2 linked regions of the Arabidopsis thaliana genome follow. The protein of the gene in region 2 purifies or fractionates together with the protein of the main gene of each other region. This does not show direct contact. Each region holds a gene or a part of one and is shown on either strand. Other genes may lie near its edges.

Region 1 (17,294 bases), on a different chromosome or scaffold from region 2:
AGCACTGAGAAGCTTAACGTCGTCGATCACCGGTCCACATAAGCTCGAGAAATCGTCGTTTCTCATCGCGTAAAACGTACTGTAGAACATAACTCTAGTCCGACTCGAGACAGCGACGAATCTCAATGACGATCGCTTGAATCCTCCTTTCCCTTTCGATTCATACGGGACCTTGATCGTGTCTTTTCCGGCGAAAGCTTCGACGATCATTGATCCGGCGCAAGCGTTGCTAGCATCTCCGACAGAGAAGGATAGGACGTAGGTTTTTCCAGGGATAGTGCGGACAACTTGTGCGACGGCGCTTTCTTTCCCGGCGACGAGTTCGACGGCGCGACGGCCTTGAGGAACGGAGAAATGATCGGAATCTATGTATTTGACAGCTTTAAGAGACTCGACCATCCAACCAGGTAACGGAGAGTGATCGTCGATGGAGTTTGGTGGAATCAAAACACCAGATGATATGTTTGGTAAAACCCAAGGACCTTCTTCGAATCCTCCGTTCTTTAGAATGTTCTCTGCAAAACAAAAATAAACCCAACATGTTTTAGATATTTCCGTATTTGCCCCATTAAGAATATTTTTATTCAAACGAGACCCCAAATTAAGTATAAGAAAAGAGCACTCACTATTGGTGGGACGAGGAGGGAAAAGGGCTCGCATAGCAACACCATCAATGAGAGGTCCACAAGCAGGATCTTCCTCAACACCTGGATTATGTATCACTATATCTGCATAGTCACTTTGGGCCTTAAAAGCCCACGAATACAAATCCCAACCTGAGCTACTATACACTGTTTGTATCGGCATCACTGCATGGTGAGGAGCCACGGAAACGTTTAACCGCTCGTCTTGTGCGCATGTTCGAGCAGCACTGAACGTTATCGAATAGTACGACCCTTTCTTAACGCTGATTTTTTGTTTGATTGAGGCTTCGTTGCCTAGACGTACTGCGAATGCGCCTTTAGGCACGACAAGGATCATGTCGCCTTGTTTGTGTCCTGAGGGAATGTACTCGACAAAGCCTGAGAGTTCCCAGTTTGGGATTGCTGTTATGTTGATAACTTGTGTTCCTTTCATGTCCGAATGTCGTGGACCGAGTTCGAAGTCACCGTTTGGTAGTAGTCCTGTTTTGTTTTGTTAATGTAATCAAGTTACAAAAACAAAACTAGTTAGGGATTTGTTGTGAAATTTGATTTAAACGATAGTGATTTGCTGACAATAATATTTGAACTTCAACTGCATCTAGTCACCTAAAATTGACAGTGATTCTAGGTAAACAAATTCTCAATCTTGCTATTTTAGATCTGTATATGAATAAACAAGTGATCAGTGTATAATAATTGAATAAAAAGTTGGAAGTATGAAATATTTAAATGATTAAAAAGGTTAGTTACAGATGGGAAGGTGAGGGTAATTTAGTGACACATTTATTGAAAACGATTGACTAAACACCATGTGCATTTACAGATCTGTCTCGGCGTAGTGTTCAACATGTTCGTCAAGCTAATAGGTCATTCTTCATGATTTGTGGTGCAATATAAATGAATTATTTTGACGACAAACAAAATTTTGGACACACAAGTTATAAGAAGCTGTACAAATTTTTATAACACGAATTTCTTAAATACTAGAATATTGTTGGAACTCACTACGAGTTTCTTTTGTTGGTTTGGCTAGTATATAGACAAGATACGAAAATGCGAGATTTCTACGGAAAAGATAAAGAACGAGGGATTTACCATCATTGAAGCAAAAGGCAACGTAGAAGAACGAGTGAAGGAGAAGAAGCACTATCACTCCCATCTCTTTCATTTCTTTCGAATTTTTCTACCCCAAATTGATATGTTGTATAAAATTTTAAACTTTCAAAAAATAAAATAAGGATTGGAGAAGAGTGAGCGAGAGAAGGAATGTTTAGTGGGAGTGGAATAGAACGAGGAGGAGAGAGAGCTCTTATATGCAAAATTGTGCAAGAAAGGCCCCTTTCCTTTGTCTAAATTATGACTTTGCCACTAGTGACTTATGTCGGAACAACATTGGTCCGGTTTTTTTATTCATCGTTCCTTGGAAATGGGTCACTTTTTCTTAGAAGGTTTGACTAAATAACACTGTCGATTTTTGGTTTGGTTGAATAAATTCGCAAATTGCCTATATTCCATGGTAATTCTAGTGTTAAGTCGTGATTCCATCATCTATTCGTTTTTTAAGCGTCGTCTAGATTGTATTCATTTAACTTTGAGTAACGATACCTAATGTCATAATTGTTGCATAAAAAGCACTGATATTCGTATTTTCACTACGAGATATCTTTCTTTTTGTTAGATTACCGAAAATAGATTAAAGATGAACAACTACGATATGTATATTACGATTTGGAAAACGATAACTATGTGATTAATTAATGGTAATATAATTGCGGGGGTGAAGAGGACAAAAGCTGTGGGACAATGTGGTCTCTCACATGCCTATTTCACATTGGTTCTCGCATCGCCACAAGTTAAAGTTGCTTATGTTCCGAGTTATCCTATCACAAACACATAACGAATAATATAAATATTATTTATTATCAGAAAACAATTCCGAATCAACCAAACAGTTGCTTCGAAAGCTTGGTCTGTGTGCCAAATCCATAGCAAGGTATATGGGCTCAAGTTTTTTTCATGGGTTTGATCGGTAACTTTCAGTCACATTTGTAACTTAGTCGTTGTAAGAAAGACCAATCAAGCAAATTGTTTTAGCGGTCTATTCAATCAAAGGGGTTTGATAAAATGAGAAAAAGTGTTGATCGAATCATTATTTAAATTTTCGAAAAATAACTCTTACAATATTCTTACGAGAAAAATATAGGTTTTTAGACAAATAACAAGACCAAAAAATATAATTTCATATACTGTTAGAATCGTTAAACGCATCACACATGCCCCAACAATCCCAAGTGTGAAGTATAAATTATAAAACCATGCGGACTCTTTGTTTACTTCAATAGTTTAAAGTTTAAACAAATAATGGTCCGACTTCGATCTAAATTAATTTAACTAGTCTTTTTCCAACTTTTATCATCATGTGCTTTCTTAGATTTAGTCTGCACCTTTGTCGGGAAATAATCATCGATATTCTTAAACCAAACTAAAAAAACCATAGATGAACATGACCAACATAATCACAAACTATCTAAGCATATTGGGACTTTTTTGAAATATTACAATAAAATAACTAACCAACCATTACTATATAAATTAAACGATGAAACATAATTGGCTTTTTTACATTATAGTATACTTATAGTCTTAGATATAAATGTGGTCGGACTTTTAGCATAATGTGAATAAATGCATGTATCAATTACAGAAAATTTTCTCGAGTGTCAAAATTAATTTCTATAGAAGACTATGTCAAATTGTATGGAAAAAAGGAGAGTATGAGAAAATTAAACATAAATAGACAATAAAATACTTTGTAAAGGATTGTTATCCTTCGCTCGTCGTCAATCGTAAATCTGATCCATGAACATATATAATTTAATGTAGAGCAATATATGATATTTAAAATTTAAAGAATAATCGAATTTTGTCTCTGCAGCGTCAGAATTGATGGATCACTGCAAATGCCACCGACTCTCTTAGCGGTGCTTTTATTGCACAAATTATTGTACTAAAAAACATATTGCGTGTGCTTATAAATACATACACATGCATTGTATAAGTATAAATTGTGTATCAAATAATGCATTATTTATCTCTAACATGCAATTGTTGCTAATATGTTATTTTTTGTTTTGACAATTGTATCTAAAATGTTCCATTAAGCAGCTTCCATGTCTAATATGTGTGTCTAGAGTTAATGGCCAAGTGGTCAATTCTCCCATGCATGTCACCACTACCAGTATATCTAGAATGAAAGTGGTCTAAAATACTAAGAAGAAATTAATTGTTTTTTTGGATAAAATTTGGAAAAGGAAAAATATTAGTAAACACAAAATGTTTATAGGTGTCATGTATGAGTTAAGTAGTCTGAATAAAGTTAGGTTCAGTTAAAAGATTTTAATTGTATGAAGATGGACGTATAACTCTGTGTGTTTTGACTTGGTGGTTAAACCTAAATTTATGATTTTCGGCCATAAAACCGGGGCCACACAGCCATGTAACTTTGGCTTGATGTTAACCCTGGATCCACATTACTATTAAAAAGATTTAGCCATACATGCATGGGAAAGTGGACCACTAAACGACATTTGACTATATATCGTCTTTCTTGATTTGCAAAATTACTAATGTTTAGTTTAGTAGAATTCAAATCTGTAGCCAAACTATTTAATGTAACTTATGAAATCACAACCTTGACTTGTGGTGCCAACGGGCAACGGCAATGTCATATACATCATAGTTGTTTTAGATTATTTTTATATATGTTTAAAACATCAACTATTTATTATACTACAATTATTTAACTACCTATCAAGTTTGAGAGCCAATTGTTATAAATTACAATCTCACATCTGTTATTCAGAACTAATTAATTTACTTGTATGGGAAATTTATTTATATGGTAACAAAAAGAAAGAAAATTGTAAATAGTTTACTCAGGAAAGAGTAGAGAGAATGTTGATAGAAAAAGAGTGATGATAAGAAATTGTTTGCATGGGAGCGAAATAACGGAGAAGACATAGAAGAAAAGGACAAGACAGCCCCAAAAAGATCAAGACTTGCGTCTTGGGGAATGCAGATTAACACTGACTGCTGCCTTTGTGTATGAATGGAGGAGACACGCGATCATCTTTTTCTCCACTGCTCCTTTGCGAGAACGATATGGACTCTTGCCTTGCAACGTCTGCACTTGTCCCCACAAGTCTTTGGTGAATGGCAGGATCTAATACTTTGGTCTAGCTAGGGTAAAGAATCGTGCTTCTCCGCAGACCCTTCGATTGCTGCTTGTCCATGCCCTGGTTTACAGTGTTTGGCGACAAAGGAACAACCTCATCCATAACAACATCGTAGTGATGCCGCTTACAATCTTCAAGGAAGTAGACCGGCTTATCAAAAACTCCATTACTGTTAGGCGGAAGCGAAAGAAGTTCAAGAATCTTATGTCACTTTGGCTCAGCTAAAGAATCCTAATCTTTATTTCTTTTCTCTGAGATTGTGTAGAATCCAAATGATTCCTTGTTTTTTTTATTCTTTTTTGCCAAGGAACACTTACTCTAGGTCTTATTGTAACACCTAAACCTTCATTATAACTTTCTTAGCAAAAACAAAAGACAGCCCCCCAAAAAAAAAAGTAAATATCCAAAACATACACCAATCTTAAAACCAATAATATGAAACTAAGACTGACCCTTTTTATATGTCACATCTGTCTCTGTCAGTAATGAGTATCCACCTTGTGTACAACCTTAATTTTTACTTCCATGGACCATTCAAGATCGCATGTTTTTGTCTACAACACATCTTCTTACTTTCGTAGTTTATCTATTGATTCTCCATTTGGTTGCCACAATGTTCATAGTTTCATATGATGGTTTGTAAAGCCCTCAAAACTAGCCTAGAAGTCGAACCAAAAACATCATTTTAGGGAATATACTTGAATTTGTGTCGAGTCTTAACTCATCTAATCTTCTTGTTACCATCTCATCTCTAAATTCAAATCCATATTTCTAACATTTGTGGTTGGCTAAACGAAAGTGAGCAAAAGAAAAGGATGAGAGAGAGAGGGGACAGAGAGGAAGATGGGTAACTAAAAGAATAGATCTGGCCTGAATCTATTAAAGGCTTGAGTTTCAGTCTACACACTCACATGCAAATGCTCTTTTCTGGATATGAAATATTTATATACATAACATGGGTCTCTCTATCTTATGAATGAATGATTTTACACCCTGTCCGATAAGTTATAATAAGTTAGTTTTTGAAATCCAAGTTTCATTTCCCCGATATGCCCAAAGGATCTCTTTCCATCTTCTTACACTTGCCGGTTTATCTCCTCCACAAGTAGATTTTTTGTGTATTCGTCGATTATGTTTGAACTCAACGTAAGAATTTTCGGTTGCCAAGGCCGATCATATAATAATAGTACGGATGATTCCTTCCTATCTTTTTAACTCAGTGAACTAAGAGACAAAAAGAAAACACACACCCATAGTCCCATACCATAGACTTGGACAGTTCAACGACTGGCTTTATCGGTGCCTAATAAACTCATAATTCTCTCCCATTAATTTCTCACATGAAACTGTCAATGCAAAGGATACATCAACATGGCTCGACCAAATTCCCAAGAATATGGAATCATGGCACTTCTACATTTCAATGCATAAAACTTAAACGATTCTGAGAGACCAATTATAAGAATAAAAGAGCAAACCAGACCTCGAAAATGATAAATCATCGAGACAGACTTGAGTTGCGTCGTCGATTTTATTCAAGCCAGCAAAAGCGATAAAAATGTAACTAGCAACATATCCACTTAGGAAAACTATCACAGATTTATGCTTTTTCAAATAGTAAATAGCTCTGTTCAGAAAGTGAGCACCAAAATATCAATGTTGCAGATTTATGCAGAGAAGCAGCGTTGACCACAAGAAAAGGGGAAAGGAATGCTTATGGGAGTGTGCGCTGGTATAGTGGTAGAGCTCCCAAGGCCTCTCGTTCCTTGCTTTCCCTCTCAACCTGCAAATCACAACATAAAGACAGGGATGATGACAACGATGATGGGCTATCCTTACAGAAAAGTTACACTCAGAACTTTTCAAACATTGCAAACATTTTCTTTATGATGCAATACTTCATGAAATAGGGAAATTGAAGATCTGAAAAAAACATATTGCTTCAAATAACGAAGGAAAAGACATGCATCTCATCAAAGTTTTCATCATTGTCAATGCAGGGAAGCAGATAGGCCCAAAAGAAAGAGGAAACTTTACTTCAAGAAGGAATAGTACGCTTTTATGACACTGAATTGCAGTTTGATTGTTCCTACCCTAGACGCAGATAATGATTTCTATGTTAGTTCATCAAAAAGGAGACTTACAAGAGCAAGCATGTCCTGAAGATAGCCACGGAATGGGGTCTGCACCGCCTGTATATGAAATAACCACATCAAATAAGAAAGTTACAATATCCACAACACTACCTAACAGTTGCAATTTCTGATAGCTTAATCAATTTTGGAAAACTAAAAGAGCCTTATACTTTTAAAGTTGTGAACTTTTGATAGCTTAATTAAGCCAGCAATAATAACAGTTACATTCTTATCTAATAACAACATCAAATAAGAAAGTAACAAAAATCGAAAAGTCTAAACCATAGAGTAATACAATAGTATACATGCAAACACCACTTTACTTTATTGAAAGGGAAAAAAAAAGATGTAACAAGGATTCAACCTTTCATCAATCCAAAATTTCCAATAATCTCAAGCAACAGCAGAACAAACACAGTAACGCAAGAGACAAGCATAGACTATGCATAAACTAGTTTATATACATCTAAGCTCCACAATCACAAAATCCCCAAAGTAAAGTAATATCTTCTGATGAACTAGTTTCGATTTCAATTTGATATCTTAATTTCTTCATTTTTCTAGCATTTAATCAATATTCGAGCTCAAATGCCTGGGTTACCTATCCATATTCTAGATTGATTCTAACAACATCAATTTCATCCAAAGAAATAGAGAATGAAGAATTATACCTGAAGATCCTTGGGGAGGTACTCGTGCTTCATGGAGAGGTCCATGGCACGCTTGAGACGCTGGTTACGAGCATCAACGACCTCCCTGGGCAATCTGTTCATAGCCTCTTTGATGTCCATACTGTAATACTGATCGTACAGATCATCGTACCTCAGACCTAATTAATCATTCAAACCAAACAAAACAAAGCAGATTCAGATTCACTCATGAACATTGACAACAAACTCGGATTTCAGAAATTAGGGTTATGGATCGAGAGAGATCTGACCGTATCTGCGAAGGCGAGTAGATATGGCTTTCATATGCATACGAGCGAGGAAGTTCTTCTTTGGATCGATGAATGCTTTCAGAAGCGACGCCATTTTTCTCTGTCTCTCTCAATTTCAGATTTTCTCTCTTTGTGCCAATGAAAGAGACCAAGCTGCTGTGTCTACAACAACTCCTGACCTGAGAGAGGAAATAATCACATAAGCTCTGCTTCACGTATTTATTTGGGCCTTAAGTGGCCCATCTAAGCTTCACGTATTTTTGACATATATAGGTCACGTACTCACGTAGTAATATTTGGGCCTTAAGTCGCTCAGCTGTAGCGTCATTTAAGGCCCAGTGATAACTTGTATTTAGATTATAAACTAACTTGTCTTAATAATTCACAAGAAGCACCAGTGGTCTAGTGGTAGAATAGTACCCTGCCACGGTACAGACCCGGGTTCGATTCCCGGCTGGTGCAAATTTTTAGTGACCCTTTTGTTTCGTGTTTCACAAATACATGCATTTAACTCTTATTCGATCCTACTTAAAAAAAAAAAATGGGGGAAATTTAAGTTGTAAAATCCACTAAACTCATGTGAATGTTATGTATAGGCAAAGCTAGTTGTATGAATGGTAACTAGATTAATCACAAAATTGATATACCAGTTGTGAAAAAAGAGGGTTTAATTTAATAGCTGGAATGAGAAATGATAATCTTGTTATATAGATGAGGTAAGTTAAACAATTATAATTGTATCTTCATTCTTTACTCTAGACGAATTGGATTCCGGCTAACACCACTACTTGAGAGTTGAAAGGCATGTTTTTGTCTGCTTATGATTAAATTAACTTAAAAAGTGATTAAGTATCGTCTCAAGTTGCAAGTGTAATTTAAGGTTAAAATGTTGTGACTTTAACAAAAATACTCTCAAATCTTGTGTTCCCACTTTCTTAGCAAAGCATTTTAAACAGTTTCTTGTCAATATCTAAACTAACTTTAATTAAGGTTAGGTTAAAGAGATAATCATGCATGTAGTAGGTACTTGATTTAGTTTGATATATTTTTAGTTTGGTGGGATTTTTGATCACGACCCATATCCTAATTGCTATTTTTTAGCCACGAAGTCGTCGTCATCATCCTTATCGTAAAATATGAAGTAGGCCTAAAGTTCAGTCCCATTTAGCTTCATGAGTTCATAATTTTTGTTTTCCAAATAATTGTGTTCCGATAATAACGCACAACTATGAATTGTAAAAGTTTGTTTTGTTTGTTTCAAAAGACAACCATATATAACTCGTCTGACTGAGTGGTTAATGCATGTGGGCATGTATAGTGACTATATGAGCTTGTCTCAATATTTGATGTTTTGAACAGTATAAACCGGTTTTAGCTTAGCACATAATACTCTCTCTGCTAAGCTCACGTTAATTTAATTAGATATATATTTATCAAATCACATAAAATTATATTGTATGGCAGAATTATTCAAGCAAATGCGTATATAAGTTATAAAATTTGGAGTGATGAACTGATGATTAACTTTACTGGACTGAAATGTTTTAAAAATTGTGTAGACTTGGTCTTTCTTTTACACAAAATGTTATAATTCGCTGATAAACAGCTTTCATAGCACATGGTTTTGGCCTCAATGGCAGTTAATTATTCAGTAACTAATTAATATCACGTTTGCCTTCTTTTTAATTGGCCCTTTTTGGCCGTCTCAATTTTTTTTTTAAAATGGAAATTATAGTTTAGTTTAAATTTTGTACTGTCACAAATTGTTGTCATATTGATAGTAGTTATCTTTATTTAAGATTTGATTTTTACACTTTTACACAACATTCCAATATTTCATAAGTGTTTGATAGTGAGGTCCATATATATTACACTGAAAAGTTGTATTTAATTTATATGATGAATGCAAATTGCCTTAATTTATTAGATAAACAACACTTTGTAGATCATTAAGAAATGGAACTTTAGTAGCACTTTAATTGTTTTTGCTTGGACATTAGATTGATTGTGAACTTTGATTTGATTATTGTTGCTTTATAAAAACACAATAAAGTGTCTACAGATAGATATTTAGGATACAATGTTTTAGATTCTTATTTTTAGGATGGGAATATCCCATCAGTCTAAATGCTGGGAGACAAACGAATTTATGAAAAAAAAGTATTCCATATTGATTCCTTCTTATCCCACTCTTCTTCCTGAATAAAGCTCTTAAATTCAAGAACTAAATGTTTAAAAACTACATAAATAATGTGGAATTCTCTGCTATTCCTAGGCGAAATGTGGTGTTTGTTTATAATTTTCCTTTGCTATCCCCAAAGCTTCTAAAGACCCTATCATTTCAATTTTCTTGTCAAAATCACAATTGATCAATACAAGAAATTGTAGTATCTTAATTTGGTCAAGTGTTCTAACATATCTGTAATCAGAACGATCCTTTTCAAAAGTTTTGATAAATTAACGTTTATGTATTATTCAATTTCAACTGCTTGTCTTTTATCAAAAAAAAAAAACATATACATGTTAAAAATAGTAAGATTATAACTAATCTTTCCATTAACATTTCTTTCTTTTTGACTCTTCGGATGCTCTTCTAGCCAGGCTCTAGCCCTCTCTAATAATATAACTGATGACTGTCACAATATAATTGATCATACATTTGAATTAGAGAAATATACCGATTAGCAGCATGATATTTAACCAAATCTGTTGGAGTAAGTTGAATATGACTCAGCAGTTAGCCTAAAAGTTTTTAAGATATATACAACAATAATTAAAGGCGAAAAGGGTGATATAAAATATAGCTGAACAGAGTTTAACATATCTTATACTGGGAAAATCATGTGTATAATTATATATACAAACGTATGGAAACTTGTCGAATGAGTCCGTCTTCTAAAAAAAACAAATCTCCTGCAATTAAAGATGGGTTTTCACTATTGTAACTGTCGTAGAGAAAGAAAAATAATTGATGGTATTGTTGTCTACAACAAGTTTTTTTTTTTTTTTTGTTGTTGTTGTTGTCTACAACAACAAACTCTATTTAATTCAGTTTTAAACTTTTTTTTCAAATAATTTTTGTTTTCTTCTGTCCGTTAATTGATAAACTTTAATTTATGTAAATAAATTAGTTGAAACTTTAATTTTTTTTGTAGTATATATTTTCCATTGCCATCAAAATTCTGTAGTGTATATTAGCGCGAAAGATGAGCATTATATATCAGATTGGTTAGTTAACGTGTCCAATATGCACTCCACTAAGGCACTAATTTAGTTTGTAATTGATGTATCAAGAACATTTTTTAAAAAAAAGATCAAGAACATTATAATAGCATATCCTTGCCACAAACATATATGGGTACATGGACAGCTTTGAACAGCACTGACCTAATTTAATTACACACAAATTTATTTGACTCTCATACTAATTACCAAACGTCGATTTCTGAAATAAATCATTTAAATTTCAAATCTTAATTTTATTTCGTTTTTGTTAACCAAATAGTATAACAAGTACAGTATCAAAAGTTTCAAGTTTCCTTAGAATGACCTAATCACTATTCGATGTACCAACGTATCTACTAAACATAATATGCATGCAATGGCATTATTGCATTTTTTGCACATTTTACAATTTCTTTCTGTTAGTGACTAACAAAATGGTGTAACTGTTTAGTATTTACCTCATCTCAATGATGATCTGGTCCACATGCTGCCACCATGTGACCCTTACTCCAGAATATTCCCAGTCTCCAAAATCCTTCGTGGAGAAAATGCGGAATATTCTACTAAACCGAATCCTTTCATTTTATTTTATTTTTTCCTACTCTTTTCTGATTATATTTAAGATCCGATCAACTTTTCATATGGGCGATCGAGAAAACATCTATTTAATTTGTAGAACTGTAAAAGTGATATAAAACCCATGCATGTGTCCATGGTTTGATAGACATCTGAATATATATCGAAAATGTGATATAATTCTATAACCACATTTGCCAATCCTTCTTACCAAACTAAAACTAAAAGTATGTATACCATTTCATTTTGTTGTAATTTTTGGTATCTGAAAACTGATTATATTTTTTTAACAAACCGATAAACTGATACCGTTAATATTTATATTAGAGCAATTTTTTTTCAAAATATAATCAGATCGAATCAATTGAAATAAGGAAGATCATATTTTCCGGCATATTTTCTTAAAATAAGTTCTAACTTTCAGCTAATTTCCTCCGATCCAATAGTTGTTTTGGTGGCAGGACAAGGAGTCCCCGAGTACGCACGAGCCGGGATAAGGCGTTTAGGACAAAAGAGACACGTGTATGGCTATCTTCCACGTAGATGTCTTTGTCCGCGTCTAATTATTGGCACGTGGGTCCTAGTATCCAAGATCAGGACGATTCTAGCGAGTCGCAAGTGCTTTTCATGATTAATCATATTATTATATACCTTTTTTCATGATCAATACGCATCTTCTTTAACGAAAATTAAATAAAAACAAGCAACAGAAAAAGTTTCTTAATCCTGTGGACGATCGATTCAACCATACAAAATAAATTCTATGTCAAGGAACATAAACATTTTTTTTTTTGCATGAAACCGGTTAAATCATCAAGAAAAATATGAGAACTTGTTTCTTAAATGGTATATACCGTCCTTGAGTTTCATTTAAATTTTTTGTGATGGATATTGTAAAAAGTAGTTTGTAAGCTTGCTAATAATGCATCCAAAAAGGATATGTGACATGATTAACAAAATTTGATACAATTGATTTGTGATAATGAAAACAAAAATACAACTAAAAGCTCCATAAACCTTGCCTTAAGATAATGACAACGAAAATAAAAGCTAGTTTACTGTCTCGGTTGATTGGTTGATCCCAAGTTCTCCTTTATCTTAGAGCAACCATACCACTAGACAAACGAGAATTAATTTTTTTACTAAAAATGGTTCAAAAAAGGTTTATTTAGTGGCTCTAATTGTTTCGTTAATCTAAACTATACACGCTTTATCTAGTTTTCAGATAATCTTATTTCAAATTAAGAATTAAGAAAATAGTATAGAGATAAATCTAATTGTTAAAAATGGATTATAGTACATACTAATTATTTGTTAAAAAAAAAGCATCGAGTATATCCGAATCTGTGGTCCGAAGTTGGGACAAGCTGACATAAGATCTAGCTGTCTTTAGCCATCAGATCCGACTTAGTTCCCAATCATATACTGACACGTCATCTTCTTCCAAACTCAAAACAGAGCATCGAAGCACTCTTTCGCGGCGCCTTGTATCTGTTTTTTCTCCCACCTCTCAGGCGGGTCCCTAACCCCTTATCCGGGTCTTACTTAAGCCTTCAATTTTTCTGACTATATATATCCCTTCCACTTATTTCTATTTTCTTCATCGAAACAAAAAATAATTAAGAGAGAAAAAAACAAAAAACATTTTCCATCTCTCTCTCTCTCTCTCTCGCCTGCTTCAAGAAATGGATCGGCAAAGTTCCGATGACATCATGAAATTTCTCGACGGCATGGCTAGCTCCGACGATGTTCTTTTTGGCTTCCTCGACGAAGGAAACCACTCACCGGAGGATTATAACTTCGCCGCCGGCGACGAATCCGAAGTTGACAACGATACCACCGATTGTAATTCAGAAGAGAACAGAAAATTTTGGCAAGAACACGAACAACTTCTCCAGGTATATTTTTATTTTTAACTCTAAAGAAACTATTATTCTCTTTGTTTTCTTTGTGGGGTCTTATAAGTTAATTTTCTTTTTGGACCAAATCTTGAAATGTGTAGGCGACACTGTATAGGACAAGTTCAATTGAGACAAAGATAAGACAAGCAACTAAGGAAGCGTTGAAAGTAGTTAGATCAAAGGGTTTGGTATGTGTCTGCCGGAGACCGGTTACCGACGGTTGTCGTAGCTGTTTACGCGGCGAAGTATCTAGCCTCCTCCGAGAAGCTGGCTATGATTGCGTCATTTCCAAATCTAAGTGGAGAAGCTCTCATGAGATCCCTGCAGGTAATAAATCAAACCCAATTTTACTCTTATCTTTAAATTCCTAGTATTCTTATTTTCCTAATTATGGAAGGTGATTTGTGATTCTTTTATGGATTAGTATTGTTTATGAAGATTCCGTATGAATTTAGACATGTTTTGAAACTTTCACGTATCTTTATCAATAACATTACTAATTAAGAAACCACATCAACGGAATTATCTATATATTCTATATAAATAAATAGAATAAATATATCTTGAACGTTTTCGCCCCTAAAACAAGTTGTCATTAACTATAATTAACAATTTGAATTAACCATGACGTTTACTTATCAAATTTAGGTGAGCATGAATACTTGGAGGTCGTGGACAAATCGGTTTCAAAGAAAGGCGAGATCCGGGTGGTGATCGAACTATGTTTTAGGGCGGAGTTTGAGATGGCGAGAGGCAGTGAAGAGTACAAGCGACTCATCGGAATGTTACCGGAAGTGTATGTCGGGAAAACGGAGAGGCTAAAATCATTAATAAAGATATTGTGCACCGCAGCGAAGAAGTGTATGAAAGACAAGAAGATGCACATGGGTCCTTGGAGAAAACACAAATACATGCAGGCTAAATGGTTTGGAACTTGTGAGAGAAAATCTGTGTCGCCAGTATCCGAAACTGAGGAGAATATGTTTCCGGTGGCAAAGCAGAGGGTTTCTATGTTGAATTATGGTCTTTTTGGTGCTGGAATAGGCCGTCCGACCGTTGTAGCGGTTGTGTGAAACATCTATATAGACGTACGAATACGATAAGTTAGGAGGAAATAAAGTGAAATGAGTTTCACTTTGAAATTTTGCATGATATTGTCTCAGTTAGAATTTTGTGTGTCCAAAACAGGGTAATTTCTGGGACTATTATGGACCATGGTATACAAAGCGGTATTTTAATCAAAATAAATAAAAAAATTCTATGGTTAGATAAAATATTGATGAATTCTCCATGTGATTATTGTTTTAAGTCAACAAACGCGGTTTTGCAAGAATCACTTGACCTTTTTGTCTATTTGGCAAGTGAACAAAACGTGAAAAAATCACATAAATAAACATTGGTCGGTAGGCCAGATGTTCATGTAATGGACCAATGCTAACGTCAACATTCATCATATCAATACACTTATTTATGTTTGTCTTGATTTTGATGAGGGAGATCTACCAAAATAAAAGGTGATACTGGTTTTTCAACACATCATACGATAAAATTTTATGTATAGGCAAAAGTGCAGAAATTGATGTCTTCTATCATATATGCGAGTTCTTAGTAGCTATGATGAAATTTTGTGTATGGCCAAAAGTGCATAAATTGATGTATTCTATGATATATGCGAGTTCTTAGTAGCTTTGTGTAAAGAGTGTTCTTCGTAATGATAGTATTACATAGACGACGAGTTCCAATACTCCAACAAAACTTATTAGAACCGGAATAACAAGAGAAAAAAATAATAATTATAATTCGCAATAAAGAAGGTCCAATCCTCAAAAGAATTGTAAAAACTAAGATGATGATGATGATGATTTTTCAACGAATATCATTATCGACCCAAGAATTAATCATATGGAGAAGTTTTGTATGAGCTATGTGAATACTACCAGTACGCATTACCATGATCATAAATTCATAATTAAACACAAACAAGGACTAATACGAGACGGGAGAAATATATAAAGGTACAACAAACATAATAGAAAGGTACATTAATATTAAAACTCAATTGTGGAGAAACTGATACTCTCACAAATTATATGACCAGAGATAAACCCTAAACCATGGAACTTATCATAATCACAAGAACCAAGCCTAGAGAAATCACTCCCGGAGCAACGGAACCGGCCAAATTGCGAACAGCTGCGGCGGGCCCTGGAGCCGGCGCAAGAACTTCTGAATGGGAGGGATCCACTCCCGGAGTAGGCGCTGGCGATGACAAAGCCTTATGGACCGGAATAGGCGCTGGCGATAACAAAGCCTTACGGACCGGAGACGCTGAGGGGGAAGGGGAAGGAGAGGGATGACGAGGAGTGTGGCTGTGGTGTCCGGTAGACATGACCGTTACGGCTAGCTTTTGACCTTTGAGACAGGATCCGGAGTTGCCGCTGACGAAGAAGAATGGGTCTGAGCGGCTAAGTAGGAAGAGAGAGTCACCGTCTGAGAGGGAAGTCAAAGGGTGAGTCGTGTTGCATGTGTTGTACTCTTTTTCACTCACCTCCAACACTGAATCTTTTCCCTTCACGTACTTAAAATCTAGCAAAATCAACAATTGATATAATCATGCATTAATGACACATATCTGTGGCCAAATAGAAGAGAAGAGAGAGACTTACAAAGAGTGTCGTTGACTTGAAACCGGTTTCGGTGAGACCAATGAGAATAATCCTCGGAAGGAGTAAGGACCCAACCATCTCTCCCACCAACATAGAACTTGTGCCCATTTGATAACTCTATACTAAACCCCAAACCCATCAACATCACAATCATCAAGTAAACATCAGTCATTTTGACAAAAACCATCAATATCCGAACCAAAACTTTAATTAACACCAACTTTCTACTCTCTTATAGCTTAACTCTCATTAATTTGGTGTGGTTTGGGTGCTTGCTTGTATGTGTATTTATGGTGAAAGTAGACAAGAGATTTATAGCCGTTGGGTGAAGCGTTTGGCTGTGCATCGATATGTAGAGAAAATGCCAATTAAGTAGAAGCGTTTCGTTCTTGCTCATCTCTTTCTTTTGTTACACGTTTCGACATGCAATAGACTTAACGGCTATCTACACAATATTACTAGTCAGGTCTTTAACTACTCATCATCATTCATCAAGTACAACTTAAAATTTCATTTTTTAAAATTCAAACTTTAATAACGTATTGTCTTATTTTACACTATTAGCAGGAGATCAGGGATGACAATTATGAATTGTTTTTACTTTTTAGAGGTATTATGCAAGTTACATTTCAAATATTTAATAGTCAGTAGTTAGTCACCAAAAGGTTAAATTTGTGCATAAAACATAGCAAACATAAAGTGTATATGCAATAAATGAAAAGTTTATCGTGATTGTAATTTTTTTTTTTTTTTAAGATTCCGATATCCAAAAATGTTATTCTAGCAACAAATGGTTTGACTGAGCTACTTTAGTAATTCTTCGTCAATAGAATTGAAATTGATCGACAAATATACTTATTCGATCAAGAAATTCGAATATATCTTATATTTCAAAGACATACTTACGAAAGAAACTTTTCCATCACTTTTTCATAAAAAAATCGAATATATATCTTATATCTTAACGACATA
Region 2 (16,327 bases):
CTGAGCAGGACCTTGACCTAAGAAATTATAGACTAGTTAGAAGACTTTAGCACAATGTTAGTTGCATGCATTTGCTGAGAACTTTCTTTTTGGCATCTAGCTTTGCTTGAAACTGAATGTCTTTAAGCAGAGACGATTCAAGAAACAAAAGAGTTTCGAATACGTTTGAAAACATACCAAACTTAGCAGCATCGTCTGCCTTAACAGTTTCTGTCACAAAAGGTCGCCGATCACCCTGAAACAACAACAAAAGGTGTGTTTGTTCATGTTATTTGTTAAGTGGACTCTTAAAGTCTTAAATATAACAACAAATATAAATGTTAGAAACTTTACGCTGCTGATTGTTGGAGTGATCTCCAAAAGGTTTTCTACCAAGCTGAGCATTTCTTTCCCACGTTCATTTCTGTGGTTTAAGGCATAAACAAAACTAATTTTATCCAACCACGAGAACCTATATGGTCCATGTCAAAATACGTAGAAATATTGACCTCACTGTAATATACTGTGGATGGTCAGTCATGTTCAGACCTGAATACTTCGGAACACCCATGTAACCGATAACCAAATCCTAGATAAACAAGCTCATACATATCAGGAAATGTTTGAAATTGGCAGAATCAAAATTAAGTGAAAAGACATCTTAATTGCTAGAGAAACACTCACCGCTAATGCATTTGTGTAATCAAAGCAGCTGCAGAATAAAAAAGATAGGGTTTGTAATTGTAGACAAGTTTTAAAAATTTCCGACAGGTTATCTATTTCAAGGTATAGAGACAATGCAGAGACTTGTATTACCTGTAACACGATGGAGCTATGACATCTACTAAATCGTTTGCAGGTAGAGAGAAATAGGGAACCTGCTTTAGCCAAAAAAAGTTTTTTAAAAACGGCTTTCAGCTGCAATTGCAGAGCAACACAGTATTTTAAGCGAATTTACCTCTTCAATGTGTCCATCCAAGTGTTTGAGTTGGACCTATAAGAGAAATTGAACAAGATTGGCATCACCAAAGAAAATGCACAGATAAGTGATGGTTTTGTATTAATGCTAACCTTGTAATCTTGCATAAATTCATAATGGAGAACAGTCTCTGGCTCTTTACTAGCTGCTTTCAGAAACTTGTCTAGTCCATCTCGTGTTCCGTTGTCCACTATTAATCAAAGATGTTCTTTTTACTTGTTTAAAAATGTATAAGCATTTCTAGACCTAAGCATACAAGACTCCGAAATAACATATACAACATGGAATGTTCAAAAGTACAACACAAGAACTAGTTGTGAAAGTTCTGGAGAAAAAACAAATCTAGATAGGATGAGGAAAATACCACAATTGGTGCCTAGTACATACAACTTTTCCAGATTCAGATGCTGCTCCACTGATCTCAATGCTGCAGTATAAGAAATCACTCTGCATTACAATACTATGAGAGTCACGATATGGAGAAACTTGAAATATACGTCCACAAAAAAGTATGTTGAGCCCATACCTTGCACTTGGCAACCCACACCGCAAAACAGAAGACGCTTCACTCCGGAAGCCTGTTACAATACAAATTCTAAGTTCATGTGAAATGGATTCAGTGATTGAAAACACAAACAAGAAATAAGGGTTTGGCAAATAACCTCGATTAATTCAAGAGTATTCAGATTAGGAGACAGAGTTGGCTTGACACCTCTTGCAGCCAAAACTTCTTCAGGTGTCCTTAGAATGAAAAGAAATGAAACATCAATACGCTTCTATATCCAGAGTAACAGCAAAATATGGATCCACATCTAAAAAATGGCGACTTGAAGAAGAATGGACTCAAAATAAACCACATTAGGAAGGTGGAAAACCTGGCTAATACTGGTCTTGGAGATAATCTGTCTTCAGGATCACTGTAATATTTCAATAAATCAGTTACATGGATAGATGGAAAAATCTACAGCATGGTCGATAAATGTAAGCCTAGTCCATTTCTGAAATTCAACAGTAGTTTTACCTCTGCACACAAACGACAGCTTCAACCATATTAGATTTCAGCATCTCAATGGCTATGGTTGTGACAATTCCAGTCCACTGAGCTCCTGCAACCGAAAATAGAATGAAAAGTAAACAACAAAGCTAAGCTAAATTCATCTTGAACGAGACACAAAAGTGCCCTAGCTTAGATTGAGCCAGGAAAAGAAGTTAGTAGAAAATGTGGAACAGTGGAAGGGAAGTGTCTATTTACCTTCGACAGGCTTCAACTTACGAGCATAGAGCTGCTCTTGATGCACCCCAAAATATGTATCTTGTAAGGAATCTGCTTTCCTTCCTCTACCATGCACAACAGGTTCCAAGCTCTGCACAAGAACTTAAAATATTAACAAAATAAGAATCTTAGCCCATCAATTAAAAAGAGTATCAAATCTTATCCATTTATATGGACATTACCTCAATCCTTGACATTCCATCTCCAAGAAATGCACATGCCTCCTTCACATGGGCAATGTAGTAGGTGTCGCATAGCCCGCACTGACTGCAAACCCATCAGAACACCAAGGATCTTGATAAGAATGAGACAAAAATAGTGAGGTAAACAAACAAACAAACAAAAAAGAAAGAAAAAACCTGCAATGGTCTTTAGCTGGATAGGTTCCTCCGGGTGGGATAGGTCTGGACTTTTCTCTCCAGTCTTCTCTTAATTTAACCTTCTTTTTTGGCTCTAGATTCATATCTGCAATTAAAGCCATAAGAGAAGGGTTCATGCAGGCTTCAGAGAGAAGATAAAAACACACAAGACAAAGATCGATGCTATACGAAACAAAAATCTGTTCCGAAATTCTGATGCTTTCAAACAGAATTGACATTATGCAGTAATACATACTAAGTTAACACAAGATTTCTATCTTCAAACTCGATAGTGACAGCTGTGGAAGACCAAATCAAGCATTCGACAAACATTACCACTATGTTCGAAAAGAAAACTCCGAATCTTAGATAAAATTTCATCCCTTTAACGAATTTCAGGGATCGGTTACACTGAAATTTTGTATAAGACGGGTCTTTTAAAAAACTGAAGAATCAACGACGTGTGTAAAACAGAGTGCTATAAAGAGAAGACGTGGCAGAAATAAATTGAGCACCTTTGGAACGCGAAGAAGAAGAGTTAACGACGGAGAAGACTGGAGGAAGGAGAGAGAGCCTGGAGGTGACGACAGTAATCATGGTTGCCCAGCCAGAGAAGAAGAGAAGAAGAGAAGAAGAGAAGAGAGTAGAGAGAGAGAAAAGAAGATATTTTTTTGCTTTTGAACTTGGATATCTTTTAGGAACCAAACTTGATAACCAATTCTTAACCGGACTGAATGGTTTTGGTTCGTAAGAGCTCTTTCACGGGCTTTCTCCATTTTTTTATTATTAAAATTTTTAAAAAGTTATAAGAGAGTTTTAATTTTTTTTCATATTCTAATGGTAAGCTCTCTTATAAGAGTTTTCTGAAAAATAAAATAAAATTTAAAATAATTATATTTCATATAACTTAATAACTATTGTAAATCAGAAAATATTAAACATATATTATTTTGAAACATTTTAAGAAAGATATGAAAATAAAAACACGGAATAACGATAAGTTCTGTCGATTGTTGCAAAATTTAAAGATTGAAAATAAGAACAAATTGTTTTAAAGAATAACAAGATTGTCGATTAAATCGGTTTTAATTTAAGGACTAAAGTGATAATTTGTATAAAGTATAAGCTCTGATATGATTATAAGTGACTCTATTGCTATATATCTGAAATTCATCTTCTTGTTTCTGTCTCCTTAACTGAATCCATAATGTGTTTATATAGTTATTCATCATATGTTCACAGAATTCTGTGTTTCTTTCATGTGCTAATTGGTACAATGTTAGTTTAATTTTAAGAGTTAAAAATATTTGTACACAAATTAAAGTTTTCACATAATAGTTTTCAGTCTCATATATTGCAACAAGTCTCTATGCAAGCTAACACAAAGGCAGTCTTCCTATGCAAGCTCTTTAGCACATCATTCAGATTATCTGATCGAACTACATACATGGCCACTAACACATAGTCACATACTAACCATCTCCTAACTTGTATTGGTTAAAACGCTCAATTTATAACACCACAACATCGACAAGAAATCGAGAGTAACAACTAAAACATGCTTCCACGACTCTCTATGATTCTACAAATAAACAACAGAGACTACAATAGCATTACTCTAGTTACAAGCAGAACCTAGACAACATAACAAAAGCCAATTCTTGATTCAGAACAAGGAATGATGACTAACTCAAAATGATTGTCAAAGAAACCCATTTCAATACTCTAAAATTGGAAAGCATCAATATAGCAAATGATCATAAGTGGCTGATACAAGGTCCAAAGCATGGATTACGAGAAGAAAACAAAAAATCCACCTTCTTCTTCTTCTTTTGTCTTTTTAGCCTCTGTTTGTTTCTGTTCCTCTCTTACAAAAAGAACTCACCGATCACGAGAACGTCAAAGCTCGATGATCACCATCCATTTTCACCACCGTCAGAACCGTCGGAACTGTAACTCGGTGATCACACCATCAATGATCTCGCCACCGTTTGTCTCTCTGTTTTCTTGCGTTTCACGATCTCTCTAGCAAATCATGGCGGATCTCACCGAGAGTCCCAAGTATTGACGCAAACCACGCGCCGTTGTCACGAGACTCAGGTATGTTGCTTCTCGCTTAAATTCCTATTTGATCTCTTGGAACCTTGGATTTTTAATATTTAGTTTCTGCACAAAAAAGGTCTCTTTGAATTAGGTCAATCAATATTTAGTTTTCTAACCGCAATTTCATCGGAGGAACTAGGGTTTGATCTTGTAGTTTTTTTTTTTTTCCTCAAACATCAGCTTTATTAATAATTTGCTGTAGCAAAGTCGCGATGTAAAAAATCAGTTATTACAAACGGGATATAGTTATAGCAATAAAACTGAGTGTTCAAAGGAAGTTGTTGTTTTGCCAGAGCATCTGCAGCCATGTTTGAAAATCGCCTTGTCCAAGTAAACTTGCATTCTTCAAATTTTGATCTCCAAGCGCTTATATCTCTTATCCAATTAAAAACTGCAAAATTTGAAGACCGACCATTGACAATCTCTGAGACTTCTTTATTGTCACCTTCAAAGTAAATTTTCCTATAGCCCCTACTCCAACAATGTTGCATGGCCATGACTAAAGCTTGGAGTTCACTTTCCATCGGATTGGTAGTAATAGAGCCTATAGCATGAGCTGCACCTAGAAAGGTTCCTCGATCATCCCGTAAGAGCCAACCCGCTTTACTCGGAGCGTTGCTGTGGTAAGTGCCGTCATAGTTGCATTTCGTCCAACCAATAGGGGGTGTTGTCCAGAGATTAGCTGTTGGTTCTTGTGACGTTACTCTGTCAGGTTTTGATGATAAACGGTGGGTGTACTCTTCTGCATCTTGCCATTCTTTGGCGTCTTGTCTTGCATATCGGAGAGAAGCTTCCCATGGAATGATCTTGTAGTTTAGTTTTACAAAATTGACCTAAAATTGGTGGATAATGTTACGACAGAGCTACACTAGGACTTTGGAATGGGCTTTGCTGTATGAGGCCTTCGTTACACTAGGACTTTCTTCATTCTAACTTTTTTTCTTCTTTTCTTTAAAAATTATTTTAACCAAAACTAAAACTTTCACTAAAACATTTAAATAAATAATTTTTTAAAGGTTTTTTATAAATACTAAATTAATATGACGTTGTGAAATCTAACCGGATTTTTGATCCCGCCATTTAACCGTGGTCATTAGCGATTCCATAAATCCAACATATTTTTCACATCTTCATGTATATTTAGCATTTATTTTTTGTTTTCTTTTCTTAAAAGTTTTTCAAATTTTTTTTGATTTTTTTAAAAGTTTTAATAAATACTAAATTAATATAACGTTGTGAAATCTAACCAGATTTTGGATCCCGCCATTTAACCGTGGTCATTAGCGATTCCACAAATCCAACATGTTTTTCACATCTTCATGTATATTTAGCATTTAATTATTTTTATTTTATTTTTTTAAAAATGTTTTCAACTCTCTTTTTTTTTCCTTTTTCTTTTTTTTAAAAGATTTTATAAATACTAAATTAATATGACGTTGTGAAATCTAACCGGATTTTGGATCCCGCCATTTAACCATGGTCATTAACGATTTCACAAATCTAACATATTTTTCTCATTTTCATGTACTATATTTAGCATTTAATTTTATTTATTTTCTGAAAAGGTTTTACTCTTTTTTTCATTTTCAAGAACTCTTGTTTTCAAAATTTTATTGTTTTGGATATTAAATTCACATATAATTATATATGATTTGGTTCGATTTCACTCGGTAAGCTTTTTCGAATATTTTTCACCTGGAGCTGTCAAATAAGCCAATTTCTTGCAGCTTGCTGATGAATCATGAAACTGTTTTTGCCTCATATTACGATTGAAACACTTAAGAGAAAACCAATACAAGAAGAATACTGTCTGTTGAATCATTCTCTTATTACCCGAAGAAAAAAAGATATAACAAGAACATATCAATCCTCAGCGAAACATCATTCATCATCATCATATGCATTTGAGAGAAACTAGGAAATCACCACACATCAGGACGGAGTTCCCCAGTAGCCGGAGGCATCCAGCGACCAGAATTGTACACATTCTCGCCAACTTTCCATCCCGGAACATCTTTCATTACATCAGCCTCATATTCCAGATACTTTTTCCACTCAGACACAAACCTAGAATGCAAAACGGGGATTGAAACAAGATTGCTATCTGAAGGTTGCTGCAGGCACATTGACTTAAATTTGAGAATATGGTTTACCTTTCATCTTCTTCTGCTTGAAGAATGGGAAGTATTGTTCTACGAGCAGCATATTTCTCTTCCTTCAATGCCCTAAACATCACATCAATCTTGATAAGAGCATTAATCTTGATACTTACTGATATCAAATCAGACTTGTTTAGGACCATTGTAAATGCATAAGAAGTTAATGATCAAGCCAGATATAATACTAAAACAATCTATCTACATAGAAACAGTATCCCGATAACTACTATCAAAACATGCAACTAGATAATTGCTTTCATCATAACAGATTCTCACATCTTTGCAATTGTGGCTTTAAGAGTTTACAAATTGTTGACGAACTTTATATTCGTTTAAGGCTAAACTCATGCTGATTAAGCTTCAACCAAAATGTCGGGGAATACTAATAACAGAATACATAACAGTGATTCAACAAGCCTATGTTTCCATAGGTTAATAATATTAACCAATTCCTACGATAAACATACTCAAGTTTCAACAATTATTAACCAAAATGTATCCTTCACTACATTACTATGGTCATCAATCACTCCACAACACTAATTTTACCAAGGCGATCTCGAATTTTAGAGGAAAAATTGAAATGTGAACGAGCTATTACAAGTCGTTCTTACCTGCGGATTTTGTTTCCCTGGCCGACCTGGTACATTCCCCAAGCAAAGGCACCAGAAACGGCAAGGAACATGGCCATTGCACTAGGACCCGTATTGGATATCCGGCGGGCATATCGGACCGGTGCGAACCCACCCGGTGGCGGACCATCCTGAAGCAGCGGCATATCCTTCACACTCGCCATTCCTGGCTTATTTCTTATCATCGCCTCCGTCATCTTCAACGCTCAATTTCTTCTCGACCAAATTGACTTTTGATCACTGAATCCGATTTGATTTTGCTGAAATCGAGTGTTCTAGGGATTCCGATGAACAACGAAGGGAACGTTGGAGATTAACTAGGCTAGGACCATATAACTAAGCCCATTAGTTAGCAAATCACGGAGTCGTATGAGATGAAATGGGCTATAACTAAGCCCATTTCAGATATGTTCAAAGACCCAAGTCCATAAGTAAGCAAGTCACGTGGAGTCACGTGATTATCTTCTTCTTCTTCTTACATATAAAATGCCCTAACTACATGTTCAGAATATCTTTAGCCGCCGACTTGGTATCATCAAATCGAGGAGATTCGAAGAAGCATGGTGGGATTTAAGAACAGATACATGTTAATGGAAGTTTTTCTGGATCCGGACAAGGATCTTCTCGGAGAAGGAACACCGATCATTCTTACACAATTCAATCTCTCGAAAGCAATCAAAGACAGTATCCTCGTCAATTTCGGCGAGTGTGGTCTAGGTTCGTCTCTCGGTTCCTTCCAAGTGAAATATGTGAATCCAATCACGAAGCTATGCATTGTAAGATCATCAAGAGAAGAACACAGACAAGTTTGGTTAGCAATCACATTGGTCAAAAGCATCGGAAACTGTCCGGTGATCTTAAACTTGCTCGATATTAGCGGTTGCATCAGAGCGTGTAGAGACACAGCCTTGAAGTGCGACAAGGAGAAGTTTGAGCAGTGTAGCAAAAGCTTGTCTGAAGAGGAGATTAGGCAGATGAATACTTCTCTTGAGAAGATCAAACTATTGGAAAACTGAAACTTTTCTAGACCTTTTTTCCTTCGAATTTGACCCCTAAGTTTTGAAATTGTACAATCTTTGTATTTTTCTTAATTCTGAAATACAAAGGGATAAGAAACAGCATCATTCCCTGAAAAGATTGTTTGCGATTTGAATCACTGGGTTTTTATATGTTGGAATTAAAATAAGAGGGTGTGAATTGTTGAGATATGTTCTAGATAAGGCGTAATTCTGTGAAAATTGAAAACTTAAGGGTACAAGTGCAAAGTCGTTGAATTTTGAAGCTTTTAATAAATCCAAAATTTCTAATCTGGAGAGAACCTATCTCTGAGGTCCAAACTCTTCGGTGGAGGAGAAGAACTGAAACGGTAATCTAGCTCTTCAAAGCCTCTTACTTTACCGATTACTTGCTCTTGTACCATGTATACGATCATTTATATGGGTTTTTATCGGTTACGGTAATCCTCCGTGTCTTTTTCTTTGTGTATGCATGTTAAGTGTTCGATAAAATACCTCAAAGACCTGGTACCAAAAACTATTCATAGGGTTTGTATCCTAGCTCCTCAGATTTTTATTCCTAATTTTAGGTTTGCTGCCTTTGGAAATTTTTTGTTGTGTTAGTCATGCTTTTAGACCCCCATCAGTAGTATTAAGTTTGTGTGGAAAAAAAGGTCGTGTTTGGAATCTTCCTATATAACCTAAGTAGTTAGAGATAAAGTGATCAATTATGGAGTCTGTGTTAATGTGCAGGAAATGAGATCCCCTAGAACCTTGGAGGTTTGGAAGCTAGGCACTGTCAACTATTTGAAATCCCTTAAACTGCAGGAGAAATTAGTTTCAGAGAGAAAAGCTCATCAGATTCCAGATACCCTCCTCTCGCTTCAGCATCCACCAACTTATACGCTCGGAAAGCGTAGAACCGATCACAATCTACTTATCCCTGAATCTGAACTTACAAAAATCGGAGCTGAACTTCATTATACTCAAAGAGGAGGAGACATCACCTTCCATGGCCCTCATCAAGCCATCTTATATCCCATCATTTCCTTACGCAGCATTGGTTTTGGTGCTAGGAACTACGTGGAGACATTGGAGCGGTCAATGATCGAGTTTGCTTCGATTTATGGCGTGAAAGCTCGAGCAGGAAACAAATGTGAGACTGGGGTTTGGGTTGGGGATAGGAAGATCGGTGCTATTGGGGTTAGGATATCTTCTGGAATCACTAGTCATGGTTTGGCCTTAAATATAGATCCTGATATGAAGTACTTTGAGCACATTGTGCCTTGTGGGATTGCTGATAAAGAAGTTACATCTTTGCGAAGAGAGACGGATACTCTGCTTCCTTCAGAAGAAGTGATTCATGAACAGTTGGTTTCTTGTTTAGCCAAAGCGTTTTCTTATGATGATGTTGTCTGGAAGGAAGATCCTTCACTCATTTTGGACACCCAAGATAAAGAATAATCCGGTTTGATCCGGTTTTGATTTATTGTCTACAAAAAATGTTATTATTTTTTGACGTGATGTGGATTTCTGATATTGTCTTATTCATTCTCAAATTTTCATTAAAATCAGTCATATGAAAGTATTTCTAAGGAAAACATTTATGCTCTTTACCAAGCCTGCAAGCACCATCAGCTTTGACAGTCCAATTACATAGATAACATACATCTTGATCTCTGAAAGCATCAAATATCTCAAACTGTTTGAATTGCTTTTCCTATTTAACAAAATGAGTTGGGTCAACCCATGAAGCCTAAACTCATTGGTAATGAGTTGTGTTGAATTGGGTTAACCATTTTGACATCCTTAGTGAGAAGAGTATGCAACAACAAACCTTAAGAGAGAAAACCAGTGAAGATAACGAATAATTCTCGGTTTACTCCGGTTTTGTGTCTACCAAAATATGTTTGTTTCTTACTCTAAGCATTCCGATGTCAATGAGTATCTTTAAGAAACAAATCTTTAAATAGTAAGAAATGCATAAATATTCTGTTTATTGATTTTATTGAATTTGAATATATATATATATATATATATATATCTTCATCATCGCAGGAGTACAAACTTACTTCCAAGGAAAACATTTCGCCTTTTTACCGAGCCTGCATGGACCATCAGGTTTTATTTCCCACTGACAGTCATCACATATACCTTGATCTCTCTGAGCATCATATATATCAAACGACTTGAATTGACTGTCCCATTGGAAACTGCAAAAGAACAATGTTGATTTCCAAAGATTTGGTTGAAACTTGAAGTGGTACTCTTGCTTGAAAGGCACCACGTGAATTCCTAGATCGTCTTGCTTGGATTTGCAATGTATGGTAAGAGGTGGACCGCCAATCAAGTTTGTCATCGTGACAACCGTAGCGCGCCAGAACGGTGGGAGGCCCCCATAACCCGAACCAAATAAAAGAAAGAAGAAGAAGCAAACAATAGAAACTTTTTCCATTTTGATGTTTGTATTTATGAATGTGGCTTTTCAGGTTGCTCTTGGAGTTGATTTTATAGTATTCCAAGGGCTCGACGGTTTCTTCACATAGTAACTATCCCATTGACTATTGACCAAACAAACAAAGAAATCAGTGTAAAAGTCATGTGACCAAACAAACATCCAAATCAGTAAAATGAGAATTTAGTGTGGTTTTGACCCAGACAAAAAAAATAAAATAATAATATTAAATCTTAATGGATTATGCGAAATTGATCGTCCAAAAAAACATGGGCTTTGGCCCCACATTTTCTGATGAAATTAAGCAAAATATATTACAAAGAAGTCCCAATTTTATTAATATTTTTACAATAATGTTTTTAAAATATTTTAATGTTACCTTGAGAAAATAATTAAGCCTTTGGCCCCAAAAATCTTATAGTCCGTTGTCGACAACTTAACCTCGTTTGTTCAAAAATTTCGGTGGTAAGAGGTAAATCCGCTACTATTTCAACTTTTTATCATGTTATAAGAGGAAAGTTTGTCAAGTTCCTCTTGTGAAAGTGTATTTGAGAGAAGCGCTTTGTTCTTTCTTAAAGAACATCTTTAATCCCAAACATCTGTTAGCATAAAAGTCTTTTAACAGTGTGTGATAGATAGCCACTGAAGATACTTTAGTCCGAAGCTGCGGTGAGGCTTAACAAATGAGAGACCAAATCTTCAAGACACGAAAACTGATTCGATAAACTCTTTTGAAACTCTTCACTCTCATTTTCATCTGACCTCAATTCGTTTAAACCCTCGTTAATCCTCTTCACTCCATTCTGCAATAACTCCATTCCTCTGCAAATTCCTTCTGGAAGTTTCCTTTTCTTGTTCGGTCGTTTCTCTACTTCCATTGACCTCTGGCTTCTTCCTTCTAGAAGCTTCTGCACTGTTGCCTTAACCTCGGTGCCTTCTTTCGAAAGTAACTCCAGTTCTTCTTCTGAAGGTGTGATTGAAAGAAGCGCTTGTTCTTTCTCCAAAAACATCTTTAATTCCGACATGAACCGCTCTGTTTTCGCTTCTTTTCCAGAAGCTATATCGAAGGCTAGAGCCGCGTCTTCAGGTACGAATCTCCATAGCTGATTACAGCTTGTACGTGCACAGAAGTATCCAAACGCAGTAACCGCGTGGTGTACCAAAGCCCAGTGGCGTTTCCTGAGAAGCATATGGTAGAGTTCCCAAACCGCAATGCTCTTTGGACACTTTTTGGTTTCAGACATCTCGTATTTGCTGAGTCCTGACAAGAAGAGAGCAAGGTTTGGCTTGGACTTACGAAGATGATTATGATGATGATTAGTTTCTGAATTGAATAGCTTTTGAAGCTCTGTTATGACATTATCCATCTCTTGGCAAGTGTATAGCTGTTCGCTTCTTGAGATGATAGATAATGTTTCGCTGAGAATCTCACTGTAACGTTCCTTCGTCGTTTCATCTTTGGAGTTTCTGTACTTTTGAATGAGAGCGACGACAAAGTTCAGAGTTTTGGCATCAATCTCTGATATGCTCATCTTTCTACACGGAAGAAAAACAACAACAGTCAATAATATCCACAACACAAAAATTGAAAATGTACCCTTTCGCTCACACTATTTTCAGTTACTATTATCTGACTTTTGCTATCTCGTGTAATAAAATCCCCAGAGAAGTCTCAAGAATAGATATATTATCATTACTTACAGTATCCGAAGGCAAGCAGATACTGTGAAAACTGGAGCTCCAAGCAGAGTGTATCTGGAGGAATTTGACGGTTTCTCATCGAATTTCTCGATGAAGTTGAAGAAATCTGCAAATATCTGTCTCTTTGCGTCGTTTTTTATTCTGTCTGGAAGAAAATTCAGTGGAAACCCGTCTAACAGCAATGCTAGATATACATCAGGTGCATGGTCAGATCTGCTCTCAGTAGAAATATGTTTGTAAACTTGAACTGTTAAAGATTTGGGGCTATGGGTAAGAAGAAAGCAGATGGACTTTGTAGTTCTTCTGAGAACGGAATCTGGACAAAGAGGTGTTTCTGATGATGGCATTGACATAATGAATGTACAAAGTTGATTAATCATATCGACCACCAAATCGTCAGTGGCATGACGAACCCAGAAGCACCAGAGTTCCATGACTATCTGCCAACACAAGAAGTGAGGATGCAAGAGATTCTGAAGTAGGAATGTTTCAAGCTCTTCCCAGGCAGGAGTTGAAGAGAGTATGATCATAAGGGTTTTGAGAGACAGAAGCAGAGCTGAATACATTGATTCCCAGATTACTATCTTCCCAGAACCATCTGCCATTGGTAGCTGAGAGGAAAGAACTGAAGAGTAAACCTCTTTGTCTGCTAATATGTCGAGAAGCCATTGCAGCTTTGTGGTGATTGCAAGCTTTGCATCTTTGTCAAGCTCGAAAGAATACCTCATGACAGACTGGAACAATACAACTCGGGCCAGGAGCAAATCTCTAGCACTTGTCGCAGATTCAACAGATAAAGACAAGATATCCACCAATGATGTTTTTGTGTGAGAATCATGGCTCTGCTTCTTACAGATTTGGTTTGAGAATTCATCAACGAACAATGAATCAAGAAGTGTGAGCCTGAATTCCTGTGTTAGTTCAGCTGCATTTAACAGTGCACCTAGAAGATCTACAGTTGTTTTCTCCAGAAGATCAGTCATTACTTCACTTGCGGATTTTCCATGAGTTTGTTGGCTCAGTGAAACTTTGAAAGCAGAGATCATCAAGATGCATAGTGCTATATCCTTGGACACCATAGACGCCTGGCTTGGAAACAGCGCCACAACTTTAACAGCATTGATAAGATAAAATTTCACAGGAAGAAAGACCCTTCTGGCTTCCGTTGCAGATATGTTTTCCTTCACCGAGCAAGACCAAGCCTCAGCAGCAAATCTCAGGGAGTCCTTGATCAGTGATATTAGCTTTAAGATAATTTCTCCTACATCTACCTTAGATACCAATGTCTGCTTGTCTAGTTGAAGCAATGTAATCACACCCTTCCAAGATGTATTAAGAATGGCCACAAGATTTCCACCATCTCTTGCAGCAAGCATACCCAATTCACTCAGAGATTTAACTCCCAGCGTAATCATGCTCACCAAATTACCCACAGCGTTGCCTTCCTCCATCCTTGCCTTTCCTACATGTCCACTCGTCTTCATTTCACTTACCTCACGATTCACTGTTTGAGAGTATTCTTTGCACAGACGAACAGTAGAATCAATTACCACTTGCACAGCCTTAAAAATCTCCGAGGAAAAGGATTCGACTTTCTGTCTCATAGAAAGGTGAAAGTTATTAACAGATGACAACAAGGCAAAACAATAATCTCAAGTTGATTCTCAACCTACAGTAGTAATTTCAACAAAACAAATGTTAAAAATGTTTCATGATATGGTACGTGTAGTTACTAGCGAAAGATAAAGATGATTTTCAAAGATACCTTGGAATTCATTATCAACTCCTTTGTCAAATTGAGCTGCTCTGAAACAAACTTATGAACTGTAACAGCTGAGGCATCATCAGTCATGAAACAAGTTTTTCCAATAGCAGTAAAGCTTGAGGCAGAAAAACGAAGATAATCCAAAAGAAGCTGCATAACATTGATTGAATAACTCAGTCCCTTCGAAACCATAAGCTGCGACAGAATCCTACTTCCAGAACCAAAAAGCATCAAATAACCTGAAAGAAAATGTTGGAATGCTCTTCCTCTTGAGACTCCTCCATGGACATAACAGACATGTTTAAATGTTTGGCACACCATTGGCTTACCTAGAAGAAGTGGAATAAGAAAAGATAATACAACACCCCTCCAAAATTGAGGTTGAGCAGTAAGCAATAAAAATGAAAACATTGTACCTTAATAGCAAAAGCAAGAAAGTAGTGTGAGCAATCAGGCCGATCCAAAGCGAGGTATTTTGAAGCCACAGGCAGAATCGCCTTGTTCAACAAACACAGGGAAACGTCAAGACATGTGAAATCTTCCCAGAGTGTCTATACAGCTGTCAAGGAATACTTGGAAACAAACAAACAAACCACTTAAAGCATATATGAATCCAAGTGAAACATGCAAATAAGCAGATATAAGTTCGTCACTTCATTATCCTGAATCCAACCGTCACATAATGGATATCCACATCTCAATTTTAAACATAGTATAACTGAAGATATTGAAAATCAGCAAAACTGATGAAAAGACTGGGGATACAGTTAGGCTCTCCACAAAAGAAGGCAAATCAGAATTCTCTTCAACATCTAACTGACTGAGCCGCGTGAGTAATTGAGCCCGATTCTCGATAAGCTGTTGAGCGAACAATGAAGAAAACGAAGCTCGTTAGATCCATGAGCTACAGAACTCAACTGAATCCTAATCACTCTATATATACATTAAGCTGCAGAAACTTAATCGGAAGGGAAATTGATAAGAAACATCACAAAACCCAAAGCAATCAGAAGAAATTTCTCGATTTAACAGAGAGGATTCGTAGAAATGACTACCGGAAGCGATAAAATCCACCAGAAGATTTTAGTTGGAAAAAATATACAGAAACCTAGAAAATCAAATCAAAGGTGGAAATCAAAGAGAAGCTTACATCAGAAGATTTGATCTCTTCGAGTAACTTCATCGCATTCTTCTCCATCACTCACTCTTTCTCTCTCTCTCTACAGGGAAATTTTGTTTTGGCAGTGTGAGAATCTCTCTCTAGGCTTTAGCTTCCCGCTCTTTACATTTCGCCTATATTGGAAATTTTCTCTGCCTTTCGCTTTTCAATTTTTGATTTATTAAACAAAAACAAATTAAAAAAAATGGAATATAAAAGATATTTTGAGGCCCGTTGGATCTAATTGGGCTTTGTAAGTAGCTCAATTTTCACTCGATGATTTTCAATTCGGTCCACCATTAAAATTGAAACCCATATCAAATCCTTAACAAAATTATTAAAAAAAATACCACAAACACCAACCAGTTCAGTTTTCTTTTCTATTTTTTTTGGGTTTTGCTTTTTTTACTACAATATTTTTAATGATTACAAAATTATAAATTGTGATTAATTTTACTAGCTAATATATATGTATATATATACAAATGCAAACGAATAAAAATTTGAAGGGTGTATGTATACGTCGTAATAAATTGCATGAGATGTAAATTTAGAGGTTGTGACAGCGAAATAGACAATAGAGAGGACGATGCATGAAATGGGACAACAAGTGTTTGACATGCAAATCCTATCTTCTTTAATTTGTGTCCCTCTCATCCCAACGCAATTATTACGTCATTTATTAGTGCTTCCTTTTTGTGGATTCTTGCTGTCTTCCTCCCACAATTAATGTATTTTTCCTATATATTTTGGATTAATATACACTAG

What was found.
Region 1: the proteins of MEE4 (region 2) and AT4G32470 fractionate together in Arabidopsis thaliana (co-fractionation; one large-scale study listed by BioGRID). This does not show direct contact.

What each region holds. Positions count from the first base shown.
Region 1 is NC_003075.7:15,663,048-15,680,341, forward strand, and holds AT4G32470 (Cytochrome bd ubiquinol oxidase, 14kDa subunit), read right to left. Parts: upstream 8,203-17,294; 5' UTR 8,049-8,202; coding exon 7,955-8,048; intron 7,844-7,954; coding exon 7,686-7,843; intron 7,072-7,685; coding exon 7,024-7,071; intron 6,974-7,023; coding exon of another isoform or gene 6,973-6,973; intron 6,663-6,972; coding exon 6,594-6,662; 3' UTR 6,172-6,593; downstream 1-6,171. Other genes in the region: AT4G32460 (choice-of-anchor C domain protein, putative (Protein of unknown function, DUF642)), read right to left, coding at 1-515, 627-1,124, 1,740-1,812; AT4G32480 (sugar phosphate exchanger, putative (DUF506)), read left to right, coding at 13,441-13,653, 13,758-13,983, 14,305-14,729; ENODL4 (early nodulin-like protein 4), read right to left, coding at 15,764-16,242, 16,323-16,509. UniProt on the Arabidopsis thaliana protein: Component of the ubiquinol-cytochrome c oxidoreductase, a multisubunit transmembrane complex that is part of the mitochondrial electron transport chain which drives oxidative phosphorylation.
Region 2 is NC_003070.9:1,283,306-1,299,632, forward strand, and holds MEE4 (GRIM-19 protein), read right to left. Parts: upstream 7,808-16,327; 5' UTR 7,682-7,807; coding exon 7,467-7,681; intron 6,919-7,466; coding exon 6,847-6,918; intron 6,761-6,846; coding exon 6,616-6,760; 3' UTR 6,516-6,615; downstream 1-6,515. Other genes in the region: HCAR (coenzyme F420 hydrogenase family / dehydrogenase, beta subunit family), read right to left, coding at 1-17, 178-235, 334-403, 489-568, 664-691, 796-857, 938-973, 1,051-1,148 and 9 more; AT1G04625 (Polynucleotidyl transferase, ribonuclease H-like superfamily protein), read right to left, coding at 4,526-4,615, 4,927-5,483, 6,389-6,515; EMB1687 (ribonuclease P family protein / Rpp14 family protein), read left to right, coding at 8,045-8,500; LIP2 (lipoyltransferase 2), read left to right, coding at 9,236-9,943; AT1G04645 (Plant self-incompatibility protein S1 family), read right to left, coding at 10,548-10,934; AT1G04650 (holliday junction resolvase), read right to left, coding at 11,588-12,470, 12,636-14,230, 14,401-14,550, 14,640-14,729, 14,817-14,951, 15,166-15,258, 15,551-15,598.